Astyanax mexicanus: one gene and its partner. The protein of the gene in region 2 interacts with the protein of the main gene of each other region in a biochemical or structural test. Links are inferred from orthologs where the notes say so. Each region holds a gene or a part of one and is shown on either strand. Other genes may lie near its edges. The genes, in order: mef2d and cabin1.

Region 1 (8,087 bases), on a different chromosome or scaffold from region 2:
AACAGTATGATACGACAAGCACACATTAAAACAGACTATTTCACTTCCTGCTTTCAAAGGGAGCAGAGCTCCTCTTACATAAACAAATAAACAAGCGTCAGCAGGGATTCAGAGATGACAATCACACACATTCCTCTCTGCATATAAGTCAGTGTGGCCTAATTTTCCCTTGTGTCCATACTAACACTATACTATGGACAATAAAGAGGGGGGGAAAGGGAATGGAACATCTCACTCATTTCTACACTCAACAAATTTAAAGATATTTTCTATATAACCAGAAAGTTAGACGCAGTATGTCTCCAATAGGCCACTGTGTCGTGACAGAGCACAAACAGGCTAAGAAACAAGGTAATTAATGCAAGACTAATAACTGAAACATCATTAACGCCAGCTGTTTGCCAAGTTTTGTCAGCAATGAATCACTAATGTTTTGGTAAATCAGGCACTCTCGCGTGATGTCTTCCTGCCTAGGCAACACGCCAACATGCATGGCTTCTAAGGTCTGTGTACTGTAGAAGAAACCTGGCAAGAACACAGAGCAGAGAGTAAGAGAGTGATATTTCAGCATGTTCTCTTCTCAGTGCCATGATCAATCCCAGCAATTGATCATGGCAATTGCTCTCCGACAAACCACTAACAAGCACAGCTTATCCTCATCAGGGTCCGGTGATGTTACTGTTGTTCATTTTTGAACATTAAAAACAGGCAAAACAACATCAAACAACTAGCTTGTAGGCAGCGGCGTGCGCTGGATAGGAGTCTGATCTATATCGCTCACTACAGCACTCCAGGTGGGTGCCAGTAACTGGATTGAGGCTCTAGGGACCAAACAGTCGCCATGTGACACCCTGCTGCGAATCACAACGCACACACTACCTGACTGCATGACTGAGGGGCTTCACTCATTCTGAGCATGCTTTAGGACAGGCCAGGATTCAAAATTGAGGCCACTGAGGCCATTCAACCTAAACACATAAACGAACACATAAATAAACCTGGAAGCAGTCAAAATGTCATGTGGGTTAAAGTGCAAACTGTACTGCTGTCAGGCTAAAACCTTGTATCTTGAAAATGAGAAATTCACAGGGGAAAGGAAAACACTTCCTTTCCAATAAATGGAAGTCAGTGTAATAGACTTAAATTAAAGTCAAATTTGAATCATTTCTATTGGTTCACTCATCCTTGAATTTTAGGGCAATGTAGAGAACTATCAGATATCAAATAGATATATTATGGGGCAGTTTTACAGAAAAGGATTAAGTCTAGTCAAAATTCTAAATGGAGATTTCTCATTGAAAGAAAAAATTAAGTTTAGGACTAGGTTTAATCATTGTCTGGGATAAATGTACGGCAAGTTGTTTTAGTCTAAAAAGACACCAAATATACGTGTTTCTAACTGATATTCCATTATTACTAATATTATTAATATTAGATCTACAGATGTATAAAACCATATCTATACTATGATTTTGATTAGTCATACGCTACCACTGATTTACATGGAATACTACTCTCTCTTATCTATGATTACATTTTTAATCTTAATTTAATTTAATAATTTAATTTTAATTTTTAAGTAAATTAACAAGTAAAACATTGAGTCACAAACATTGACTAGTATGAACAGCATTGTATTGAAGATTATGTTTTAGACATAACACTGTACATTTCCAAAACACACTATTCTAGTAGTGAAAGCTTTAAATATTTTAGATTTCAGCCCATTTTAGAATTAGCTTTTGAAGTCAGAATTATTTTTCAGCTATTTGAACTTGAACGTATCTCTAATCATAAAAATAACAATTTTGGAGATATTTTCTGCATGACAGTGAAGAGTGTGGGTGCTAACATCACAGTAAGGCTTAGCACATCACAAAGGGGGTGGAAAGAGCGATGTAGTTATTATACAATGAGGAACACTAACTATAAAAGTTTCTAACCAAGCTCTTTAACACTTGTACCCACCCAAATAAAACACACACAGACACCACATGCTGTTGCATAACACTTATACAGAGAAAAATTGAGAGTGCTGCTGGTTTGTGGCAGCACTGCGTAGGCAACACCAAGTTTTGGCGTGGTGTATTAACTAAAAAATAATCAACATTTTTACCTTAACGTTATTTATTACTAACGTTTATTTTGCCTAGACACACGGAAGGTGCCAGCTACGCGTTTGTTTAAAAATACCCTAGAATACAAGTATAAACATTTATAGTTAGTATTTAGGATGTAAATAAGGAGTACAGGAAGGAGTACATACACATAGGTTAGCTAGGATGTTTTGTTTTTAGTTTCAGAGATAAGCAAACACAGAAAACGTAGGTAACTGCAACTGTAAGAGCGTGTTGACAGGTCCGAACAACCGCCACCAAATCTCTGACACTCGGCTGTCTCTGTCCGCCGCTGTCTGTCTGTTGCGCACCAGAAAACACAGCACACACAGCCTGCGCCCGGCTTTACAGCCTCATATTAGGGAGTTAAAAATCACTATTTGCAGTTAAACGTCCAGGAAAAATGTGTTTGTTAGGAAACAGTCTATTTAGTTAACGGAGCTAGCTGTCTTTAAACACCGGGCCAGTAACTAGATAAGCTACCCCTTGACAACAGGCGAGTTAACGCTAGCTAGCTAAATGGCAAGCTAGCCTAGCAACGGTAGCCAGCCAGTCAGCCAGCTAGCTAACGCTGGCTAACCTCAGCTAAGCTAGCGAGCTAGTCCTCCATTTTGGGCTGAAATCCATCCCAGCACAACACCGGAGAAATTATTTGCAGCAATGGGACACATCCACAAAGCTTAGTTAGCTAGCCAGCTATACGTATAAAAGGAAAAGAGGCAGTTTAAGAGTTTAAACCCGTTATTTTCTAAATAAACGCAGAGCTAACGAAGAAAGCTAGTTAGCTTAGCTAGCTTTAGCTAATATAACCTAACTACCAGCCTAGCTGGAGTCACTTACCCGGAGTAGCTACTGTATCCACATCTGTAAGGTGACGAGGAGCTTCCCTAAAACCTGTAAACGGTTGCCTGAGGAGAAACGGGAATGAAAATCCTCAATATTTTTAAATCAAGCCCAGCCGAAGTTCATCATCAATCACCAAACTCTCTCCCCTTGGTGCTCTAGATAGGATAATTGTTTAGCTAGCTTTGCCCAGCCAAATGATACACTGTACAAGGTGTCCTGTCTACCATGATTGGCGTTGCTGTATGATTGACACACGGCGGGCCAATAGGAGGCGGGCTTGAATCGGCTCCAACCAATCACGTCCAAGGAATCGTGCCGCTTACTCGCAAAGGCAAAGTCGGTAGGCGAGGGTTTAAGGTGAAATAGGAAGGACTTGAGAGATCATGCTGGAGCTATAGCGAGCTACCTGTATTCATCCGCCGGTCTGTGTACATATTTTCGCGTATGTGTGTGTACACTTATTTTTAATACTTTTATCAATATTTGTGATTTCTAAATATACATACGGCGTGTGTGTGCTGTGATATCTGCTTTGCGTGATAAAATATATTCTTCTTTATGTCTGTGTATTCTGTTCTGTGAACATCACAAAATATATAATAACTTTATCCAACATCAGACCTATTATAACCCAGCTAGTTGTAAAGTAATGGCTTTAAACGAGAGAACATTCGATTATTGCTTGATTTTGCTCATTTAAGAGAATTTACTGAGCTGAAAAGTATTATTCACCTCTCTCAAATTCGATTGTATATATAAAAACATAAAAATGATTTTTCTGATGTAAATTTAGCATTTAAATGTTTTTTAGTTGCTTTTTAATGTCTTGAACCGAAGGGAAAACAAATCCTGGCACGCTGAAGGAAAATGACGTAAAGCGCTACTGCCTCGTTGCAGCGGAGGGATACAGTGTTTACAGAGCGAAAGGGAGTGATGCGCCCGAAAAATTAAAACGCGAGAGTTGCCAGCGCTGAGGCAAGTGGAGGAGTTACGTAGATATTTACGTAGTTTTCTTAAACAGGCTCACTGGATTTCAATACGATTCTATAAAAGCACGCGTACAGATAGGGTATTTGTTATAGAGTAGGCTACAGAACAAATTGCGTGATTTCTTTTGCGCCATATTTTACCCCCCCCCCCCCCCCCAAATACACACACACACACACTGAAGCTGGCTACGTCACGGCCTGAGCCAAGTGGTCACTGAAGTGGCATTTAAAGCTGTAGTAGCATGTTTAAAGCACTGTTCAGCTGAGAGACAGAGAGACAGATAGAGCTACTCCACTTTGCTTTTGTTTAAAAAGTGAACTACTAAATTCTTTCATATCCATCTGTCAGTCAAGTCAATAAATAGCTTATATATGTGATAAAATCAAACTGGAATACTGTAAATAATGTAGGATGTCATTGCACTATACAACACTACTAATTAATTTTAGATCTGAAGTAAACACCTGATTCGAGTAGCCTACTTAAAGGGCAGCAATTATATTTATCTTATAGTGAATACATTACAGAGAAGAGAAATTAAATTAGGGTAATCAGGAAGATGAATGAGAAGGTCGAGCAAGGAACAGAGAGAGAGAGAGAGGAAGAAAAAGAGAGAGAGCGCTTACTCTCTGTTTTATTCTTTATGTAAGGAGCTTATGTACTGGGGGTTTTGTCGAAGGGAATTAATGCAAGCAGATGGGCTCCCTGTTGCCCTCTCTCAGATCTTTCAATTCCTACATGCAGACAGTGTGCCGGACAGCATGCAACAGTGGAAACCCCTATGCATATGACAACAAATACAAAAGGTAAAGTTAGAGCAAGTTATCATAATCATTTTCAGCCTAGGGTGGGTAAACACATTAGAAAATTTAAATTGTTAAAAACAGGGCCACAATAGGGTGGCATTGATAAATGATCAAGTTTCTGTATGATGAGAGTTAAATCAGGAGGCGTGTTGGTTGTTGGTGCTGGTAATTTGTAAACCTATGTGTCCCAACAATGCAATTGCATTAGCTATCATAATTTAGTGCCTATTTTTTCTATAGTGCACCTGTCCCTGTTATTCTGGATGTATTTCACTTTTAGTGACATTCGATTATATTGAAAGCAACATTATGTAGCATTTCTATTTTAATACAAATGATCCACTGGCGTAAATAGACAGAATAGCATCTTATGCCATAGTTACTTCAGGCTCAGCACACTTCTAACAGCTCTATGCATCTCTGGTGAGACACGTAGGACAATCTTTCACGTCAGATGCCAGTTCTGTATCTGTCAGCTTTTACAGAAATATAAAGTGTAAAGTATGTCCTTTTGGCGTGTCTCTAATATCTCTTTTTCACTGATGTGAAACTGGCACCGTTCTGGTTTGTGAACATAATTTTGAACCGGTTCACCACATTTCCACCAACAAAAGTAGGTTCCGTAACCAGGAATGTTCAGTCATGTCTGTTTGTACAGGAGCACCGCTGCTGTGCAATGAACTCTGTTAATGAGGTATGATATGAGGTAGGGGCTGGTTCACTGAAAAGCACCACGGTTCTTATAAGCCTTCATAAGGGGAACTCAGAAATGCCAGCCTGGGCAGGGAAGACAAATTCGAGGGGGGGGGTGGATGCCTGGTTAAAAGCCAGCCCTAGCTAACGGGCTACAGTTTCTGCTTCTGCTAGCAAACCACAAACAACTTGGAAATAATTACAAGAAACAATGTTTTTGATACAGTGCTACAAACTCTCATGAACCTTTGCAGTGACACAAATCAGCCAATAATAGAAGAGCTTGTAGTTTGTTTCCCCCTGAGTCCACTATAAAAGGAAACACAGTTAACTCTGTTCCAAGCTTCTCTCCAAGCTGCTTTGTAGGTGGGCTGCATTTCTCAGCTGCTACGTATTTGAAGGCTATTTCAAAGTGACACATCTTTCATATACAGCTGAGAAATGCAGTCAACATTTGGAATGATTTGAAGTATGCAGCTGATGTATCCTTCACGGTACTTGGTTACCCACAATTCACTGGGTATGTTCATCGCAAGGGGAAAATGAAAAAACAGCAACATGGAAAAAGGTGGGAAACAAAGACTCTGGTGCAGAGTTGATTCTTTTTTTTTTTTTTTACAAATTATTGTAAATTATTACACAAGTTTAAATTTTACAAATTATTAAGTTTCGTACCTCAGTTTCATTGTGTGAAGTTTGTATGTGATGCCACCTCAAAGCCATGTTAGAATCAGCTCTAGTTCTAGACTGCTTTGCTTAGGGGGGCAGTAGAACATAATGGGTGGGCATATTGCTAGTCATATTTTTAAAGCCAGAGCTAATAATACTGGCTAAATTGAAGAAATAAAAATGTAGCATATGTCTTCAACAGAAAATGACACATTATAGTGTTTTCTACAGTGTATATTTATTTAATGAAACTTAAAATACATGCAGAGGGGTATCAAGTTAAGTCCGTGTTAGGAAAGATTTGCTGCTACTAACCAAGTTAGTAGCTTTCTTAACAGCTAGCTGCTAATACTACAAGCTACAAGCCAGTAACACTGAGCAACAAATCACCACAGTTTAGCAAACGTTACCTTGTGGAAGTCAGTTTAAACTGAAAGAAGTGTTTAATTCACCCTTGTATGTCCCTGCCTTTAATGTTCACACTGACAGGACCTGCTGTACTGAACAAGAACATCTCTGATTGAACGCTGCCGATTTTATATGACGCAAAGAGCCAATCAGAAATAAGCAAGGAAATATCTTCACGTTGCACAGGAAAATGGGCTTAATGATTGGTACAGAGATTTTTTCTGAGATCAGTTAAAAAATACTCATTGCTAGCATTGTGCTTGGGGGGCAGAAACAAAATTTGGCCCTGGTTAGAATGTTCCTAATGTGTGACCACCATGCTATTGAGAAATACTCTTCATAGGCCAGTACCTCCATGGACTTGTCCTACCCCAACCGCAGCTTAGACTTCCAAAACAGCTCTTGCGTCTTTCTGTAACAAAATAATGTGATTCTGAACAAATACATTGATCCAGCACAGTGTGTGTTAGGACCTTTTACCTTCATCTTACACAAATGACAGAGATGTGTTTAAGGTACTGGTTTGAGTTTTTTCAGCGTTGGTTTGACCTAAATCTGAGGTTATGTGACTGCAGTGTGATGGGCTATCATGAGCCTTCAGCCTGACACCCTGTGTGTGCTAGAACATCTGCTCCAAATCTCTCCCCTCAGAGAATGGAAATGGGTCAGATTCTACAGTACCTCCATGATTGCTTTTCTTTTAGTCAGATGCATCTCTCTCTCTTTCTCCCTCTCGCTTTTTCTACATCCCTTTGTCTGTTTGTTTATCCCTCTCAGGCTGTTTTTTTCTGTTCTTGCATATTGAAATATGTATTAAAGTGTATATACTTATAAATCTATACACTTGTAAATCTATATACCACCACTATTACCACCACTGCTGACACTGATGTGCAAATGCAGACACACAAATTACTGTCAATAGAATAGGACTGTCAGATAAACACCAACTACTGGCACTGTGCCTGAGGCCAGTGGTGGGCACAGTGTTTAGAAACTGATCCACTTGTACCACAAACTAACACCCCTCCACCATTCCAGTGTCACTGCAGTGTTGAGAATGACACACCACCTCAATAATAGGTGCTCTGTGGGGGTCCTTGTCATTGAAGAACATGGTGAAAGGTGGATCATAAAGTATGCATAGAAACAGATGCACTACTAATTATAAAACTGCAAAGCATCCAATACGCTCGGTGGAGCTGAAAAAATGGATAATGGATGTAGGTCATAATGTTATGCTTGATATGTGTATAACATGATTATGTTATAAGTACACCAGCTCTTTCTCCTCTCTCTCTCTCTCTCTTTCTCTCTCACTCTCTCTCTCTGGCTCGCTTTTCTCATTAAGAATTGTCATTATTTTCTCTCATACATATTCGTCAACAGATTTTAATGGTGTTTGAGCCTAACCGTCTCTGACTCTTTCTCTTCCGCTCTCTTCTCTCCGTTTCTCCTGAGTGTATTAGTCCAGATGAAAGGTGTGTGGGTGCAGATTCTCCTCTCTGCAGTGACCCGCTGCTCTGCTTTGCTTGGCTTCCATAGCATCCCGTCTGCT
Region 2 (7,101 bases):
TAAAATGAACATCATTGTTTCATTCCAGAACCTATGGACAACACTTCGCCCAAATTCCAAACAAAAATAGTCATTTAGAGCATTTATTTGCAGAAAATGAGAAATGGGTGAAATAACAAAAAATATGCAGAGCTTTTAGACCTCAAATAATGCAAAGAAAACAATCTTGGCATGTTCTCCTCCACCAGTCTTTTACACTGCTTTTGGATAACTTTATGCAACTCCTGGTGTAAAAATTCAAGCAGTTCAGCTTGGTTTGATGGTTTGTGATCATCCATCTTCCTCTTGATGGTTCCAGAGGTTTTTTAATTTGGTAAAAAAAAAAAAAAAAATTAAGTCATTTTTTTTTCAGAGCTATATAAATCCATCCACAATCCATAATACTTGTGATCAGTTTGTTAGATTTCACCTCCACATAGAAGTCCATGGCAGTGTCCAGGTCATCCCTAAGCACAGCAAGACTGGCCAGGTTTTTGTAGGTGGAATATTTCAGCATTAACCCCGGGTGTTTGAGCCCGACCTTCTCATCTTCCGACGCCACCGCCTGAAACAAATCCAGAATAACAGACATATTGTTAATTACAAAAATATCAGCAAAACAGCCTCATCTAATTTCACAAACAGCAAGAGTCACATTTTTACCTCCCTAAGCAGCGGTGTCTTAAGAAGCACATGGTAAGCTCTGGCCGACTCCTCAAACTTGTCATGCTTCTGTAGGTCAAGAGCTTTGTGGTACAGGGCAAATGCCTCTGCCTCCTGCAGAACAGTGAAGAACAGGGGATGGAAATTGACAGAGGGGAGACAATTTTAATAGAAAGAAACTTTCAGTGACATCACAAAGTTAATCAAGATTACAGAAAGCAAAACTTACCTGAGCCTCCTTGGTCTGACTGGGTTTAGCGCTTCGAAAGTGATCCTCATGTTCATCTGCAGTCTGAGAGGCTGCATTAAGAGCAGCTATCCGGATCTGTGAAAGAAATGAAGTTAGCAAATAATTTAATAAACATTTTAATGAAAAAAAAAAAGCAACCAAACCATGAACTCGAGTGAAAGTCCTTAGTTTTGTATTTCTACTTAAATGTAAAGTATTTGCCATTAAATGTACTTTAATATTGAAATGATTTACTTAAGCTCTTAAGGTCTTATGTCGATTTTTCATATTTGTAACACAACTGAGTTTTCCTTACTATACTACATCTATATATTTCATAATTTACGCATGTATATAGGCACTCTTAGATTTTATGATGTTGCATAAATTGTAATTTACAATGTTAGTTCACCATGTGCTTGAAATGGGTTGCGGTCAAAATAAGATAAAAAAATAAATAAATAAATAAACCATATATAACAACTTTTTTTTATTATTCTGCACAATGTTTAGCAAAAAGTAAGACATTTGAGGAGAAGTCACCAAAATAGAAATATTTCTATATGTCTAAAAGATATTATGTTGCAAAAAGCATGGACTTCCATATCTTTCTATGGAGAACAAGATTGTCAGTTAAAAGACACAGATTCAATCTTACCATGGCTTGTTATGTGTTAACCATCACCACTGACTAATTATTAGGTTCTGTAAAAAGATGACAAGAATCAGAAGACAGGATTAGCAATCTTTATCACATTAAAAAGGCTACCTAAACTCTAGCTGCTATTATATTCTTTAACAATATCAGCAATCTAGTGTTACGCTGAACCTAAATGACCCACAGAGCTCACAGAACCAAGACAGATCATTTTAAATGCAAACTAATAATTAAACATTTCTAAGGAAAAACACAGTAGGTAGCTTTAAATGGTTTGTGAGCCCCTTCCAATCTAATCCAATTTTACATTTCGGTAAACGGCAAAAGTATTTGACGCTTTCAGGATCTGGTGTGACATTCCTTGTGCACCAAAAACTGCAACAAAATGTTTCTGGTTTCAGATTTGCCGCACCGGCTGCGAGGTATATTGTGGGTAATAGGACTGTAAGAAGTTCACACAAGTCACCTTCCATGCATCCTCAATAACGTGGGCAGAGCAAAAACCCATCCAGGTATTTGTTGTGTACTTGGCTAACTGTGATCTTCTAAATGGAATAGTACTTGGGCTGCATCTGATGATGCTTTACGAGTCACAAGAACACAAGAACAGACAAAAAATGACCTATACTTCTCGTTTAAACCAAAAAGTTCTATTTTTATCTCATCCATACACAAGACATTATTCCTTTTATGCACACAAAATTGGTATTTATCGTTCTCCTTAACGTGGACTCGTGAACATTAACATTAGCAAATGTGAAAAGGCCTTGCTTAGAACAAAAGTTACTTGTCTTAAATTTCCTTCAGTTTTCACACAGTCTGTCCAAACTCTTTAGAGATGGCTTTGTAACCTTTTGTGCTACGATAAGGATCAGACTTTAAAATATCCCTGCTTTTTTGTTTGTTTGTTTTACATAAAAGAGGGTACTGCACAATCACACATGAGTGTCATCCCAATTAAAATGCTAATCCTAAACTGGCACATTATTTTGCCACTCATGTTTGTTTGCTGGTCTAATGTTTATACCTCGCTCGTTTGTTAGTTTTTTTCTGGGTCGCCTGGGTCGCCTCGCCACTTGTTCTATGACTTGTGTGAGGTTTGGCTGAGGTTTTAGGTCAAAATTATGCAGAAATATAGAACATTCTAAGGGGTTAAGACACTTTTGAGCACCACTGTAGTAAAAATTAAAATATATCAGCTAACGGCTAACGTTGGTTAAGCTATAGTTTGGCTGTCAGTGTCATCTTCATAACTAGCTTTTTACTGAACACACTGGCTTCAAACAGTATTTACTGTTAGCTACCTTACCTAATAATATAGCGAAGCTCCTGTAGTCAGTGTCAACTAGTGCAATTTATTAAAAACGCTAAAATAACCTATATAACGATATAAAAGTATTGTTATTAGCGGTTAGCTGGTTAGCTAACCCAGCTAGCTATTAACTCCCACAGCGACACTCTTTGTTTACAGTCCCATTCACTCTTACTAACGTTCCGCTAGCTACGGTTAACTAACGCTAGCTTAGCTAACCCATATAACGCTCTCTTCCTCCCCTCTCAGTGTTAAAAAGCCGGTTTCTGCAGCATGTTGATATTCCCTGCAGGAATATATGTCTGTTTTTAATACATGGATTAAATCTTACCGGCTCAGAGACGCAAGTTGTGCACCAGAAAGCATCTGCAGGCAAACGGGCACATCTAATACCGGCCGCTCTGATTGGCTGAAAGAACACAGGCGCCACAGAAAGCAGCCAATGCTGATTTAGCTTTCTGTATTTGACTCTGAGACGTCATGTTCATTTATTCCAGGACAATTATTTACCTGCTATTCCGCCGAATCGGTGCAATTTTATGGATAGAGATTAGTCTCAAAACTCCTGACAAATGTGTAAAAAAATAATCCATTAATTACACAGACACCACAAATACATTTCACTGCTCACAAATAAATACATTTCAGTCTGTGTCTCACGACCTGCAATTGGTACAAATACTGTCAAACTCATAAATACACTTTTCTAGTTTTTATGTATAAATCATAATTTGCATGTAAAACTGAATGCATTTCTTTTACATGTACTTGCATATTTTCAAACTTAAAATGTATTTATAAAGTGTGCATCTGCAGTTTGTGGATCACGTTTGTTTTTTTGTTCATTTCCTCTCGCGTATTTTGGCGTTTGAGACTTTCCTTTTGCATTCCTGCACCTGATCCACACACAAATGCACCACTCCATTCACGCGAACAAGCCGCCGCGAGGGGGCGCTGCTGATTTGGAGGAATGGCGTAAGGGCGGATAGGATTCATTTGTTTGCGTTTGCGCTCGTTTCTCTGTTTCTTTGGGTCGGCGACTTTTTACTTCTGTTGTAAAAAGAGTGTCCACGTTATTTCGTGATTTCTCTCCGTTTTCCACTCCGTGCAATAGACTGAGTTCAGCTGATCTAATGAATTGCCATACCGTTTATATAAAGCCACATTATTCTGTCCAGACTGGTTTGTTTATTGGGGTTGTCTAGTCTCACCACACTCACTAAGTTGGGTAGATACATGTGTAATGTTTGAAATATGTATTGCTAATATAAGATATCTGTAGTATTATCTTATATGAACTTTGCTACTAAAATTACACCTTGAAAAATGTTACCCGCTTTATTGAGGTTCTAGCGCATGTACTTCTTACTTTTAAAGTATTAATGTGTCTTATTTTATAGTTTTTATACATACAGTTGTTTACAGCAGAATACTTTTTTCCAGCCACGTCGGTGCCCGGGAGCCCCTCTGAAATATATAGGGTGTTTGGCTGTTTAACTAAGTTAACAAGTTATACGATTGTAAACAAAATTATTCAGAGGGGCTTAAAGTGTGATATGCCAGCTAGCTCTGACTAGATAAACTTTCGGAATTGTTCATAATATTGTGGAAGAACAGTATTAAAAATAAGCTACCTCATGAAAAGTAGCTATTGCATGAAATGGTTAATATTTAGTAGGAGTTTTGTGATTCAAAATCACACATGCTGCTCACAGAAAATGTTGTTAAATTAATTTAAATTTACTTTTAATTTCAAGTGATGTATTTTGATTTATTATTCATGCAGAAAGACCCTTGACCAAGAACAACATCTTTTATTTGGACATCCACACATTTTTCAACCAGACAATGCAAAACCACACGCCGCACACTGTAATGTGTAAAAGCATGTCTGTGGAAGAGGATACAGGTACTAGATTGGCATACAGTACTAGTAAAAAGTTTGGACACACCTTGTTATTCAATGTTTTTTTTTCTTATATTTTTCCATTCATTGTAAATTAGTACTGAAGTCACCCAAAAGATTGAGTAAAAAAACAAGTCTGTTATTTTCTTTCAAAGCCTCATTTTACACCAAGCCTCTCTGATTGAATCATTTTTTTTTAAATCTGTGGACATTTCTTACAATGTAAATGTTGTTCAATTAAGAAAGCAAGCAACATATTGTATCTGTTATCCATTTATTCACAAGAAATTCATTTTCACAGTCTATGAAAAGTTAATAAAGGATACAAACTGGGTGACCGATTTTTTTTCACACTTAAAAAACAGCAATAAAAAAATAAATAAAACAAACCCTGCGTTTAAAATCTGTTATACAGAAAATGTAAATTACATTTCAAACACGTTCAGTCTGCTTTTTTACACAGTTAAAAGTGTAGACTGAAAAAATGGCTTTTAAAATGGCTTTTCAATTAGTACAATTAACACTTGTTTGGCAAACAGTTTTAGCCCAAAATGGCACACGAAAAAACAATTTACTAGTGCAAATGAAAATCGAAGAGATTTAATTTATAGATATGCCTTGCCAATATGAAATTAAAGATATGTGATCTTGTCAATATGACTATAAAAATATCCTTTACAGGTTTCTACAGGTACCTAAGTGAGCACAATTGACCCGGCTCTCTCTGGGTTAGTAGATGGTGGTCCCTCTCTCCTCCTCCTCCTCCTCCTCCTCCTCCTCATCATCACCACCATTGTGATGGTGGCCGATACAGGGGTCTGTGGTTAAAATGCATCAGAGTGCTTTCTGTAAAGCATTCAGAGTTGAATGCCTAGTAATGCTGCATTGGAAACAGTTAAAAAAGATGTGGTAGATGACATCATGTGTATCAGAGGAGGCATGCACTTGTTCAGACCCTCCCAGCCATAGAAACATTTTAAGTGATAAGTGGAGGTCGTAGTGGGTGGGTACATTGACTGGCTAAGCTAAATTGGGGAGAAAATTTGGTTGCATTACAGAAACCCTAAATATGAGAATTAAACAGATAAATTTTACATTTGTATTACTGGTGGCATTTAAGACCAAAAAGACTTGCCATACTATTAAACATCAACTAAAAGATGTCTAAAGACATACATCTGCTCAACAGAAGACTCCTTCTAAAATTGCACACAGCAGCATAGCCAACAGAACTAGCATATTTTTTTTGCACTATAAAGCGCACTTAAAATCTCCTTTAATTCTCCACAAAAATGGTCAGTGCGCCTTTTAATCCGTGTGTCTTATGTATAAATTTTACCAGTCAGGTTGTAAGGAGCAGTAAAGCCACTCCGCTGAAGTACAGTGTATTACAGGAGTTTCAGTTTAGTTCTCCAGCACCGAGGCTGGAGTAGTATTAGCATTAGCTGCTAGCCGCTATTTCCCCATTCATAGGTGAGTATTATCGGACTGTACCTGGAGCAGCATTAGCATTAGCCGCTAACTGCGCTACAACGTTTGTCATTCAGAGGTAAGTATATCGGACTGTGGTCTGCGTGTTTACTGTGTTAAAACAAGCTACGTGGGACGAACCACTAGCTAATATTGCCCTGGCTTACTGGAGCACTTAGGGTGACTCAGTGTAGTGTTCCTGGGTGGCAGTAGCCGCTAACTGCTAGTGGCTCGCTGCTAATGCTTCTTAGCAGCCTTATTGCTGGAGAAATTGGGGAATCTAAGCCTACTGTAAACGAAAGCACTATACTCAGCCTAATAAACAGTTTTCAGGAGAGAAATCTGTATAGGTGAACATCCAGCACTCGTTTCACTTTAAAAGAAAGTATTTTTGTTACAGTTTTGTTTACTTAGCTTAGCTTTACCTGACCTGCTAAATTAGAAGTTCCATAGAGTCTGTTTAAATGCGCCTTATGTATGGAAATCGACCAGAAAATAGTTAATTGATAGTGCGCCTTATAAAATGGTAAGCCTTATATTGCGAAAAATAAGTTTTTCTGACATTTCTTATTTCTTTAAAAACTGCGATCATCAGTAAACAATGGCACTTAGCATTGAAGCTCACAGTCTAAATGCATTTTACAAATGGAGCTGGGCTCTATAATCCAGCAAACCCAGTGGCACTCCTCTGGTTCTCAACGTTTGAGACAGTTGAAGATCTGGAGCTCAGAGCAGGAGAAACCCTCCCGTCAGAGAAGTCGTCTCTGTAAGAATTGGAGACTCTGCTGCTGTGTATGCTTGTGTGTATGCTACTTGCTGAACTCCCTGAACCTCCCTTGGAACCTCCACTGTCCCGACTTTTCTCAGAACCAGAAAATCTGTGA

Evidence for each region.
Region 1: the proteins of cabin1 (region 2) and mef2d form a complex in vitro, tested with the Homo sapiens proteins (2 studies listed by BioGRID). The link is inferred for Astyanax mexicanus from reciprocal best matches to the Homo sapiens genes CABIN1 and MEF2D.

The regions. Positions count from the first base shown.
Region 1 is NC_064413.1:40,265,062-40,273,148, reverse strand, and holds the start of mef2d (myocyte-specific enhancer factor 2D), read right to left. Parts: upstream 3,227-8,087; 5' UTR 2,958-3,226; intron 1-2,957. UniProt on the Homo sapiens protein: Transcriptional activator which binds specifically to the MEF2 element, 5'-YTA[AT](4)TAR-3', found in numerous muscle-specific, growth factor- and stress-induced genes.
Region 2 is NC_064419.1:22,924,916-22,932,016, reverse strand, and holds the start of cabin1 (calcineurin-binding protein cabin-1), read right to left. Parts: upstream 3,258-7,101; 5' UTR 3,173-3,257; intron 3,098-3,172; exon of another isoform or gene 2,839-3,097; intron 1,577-2,838; 5' UTR 1,533-1,576; coding exon 1,530-1,532; intron 968-1,529; coding exon 872-967; intron 757-871; coding exon 643-756; intron 545-642; coding exon 410-544; intron 1-409. Other genes in the region: cep78 (centrosomal protein of 78 kDa), read right to left, coding at 6,876-7,101. UniProt on the Homo sapiens protein: May be required for replication-independent chromatin assembly. May serve as a negative regulator of T-cell receptor (TCR) signaling via inhibition of calcineurin. Inhibition of activated calcineurin is dependent on both PKC and calcium signals.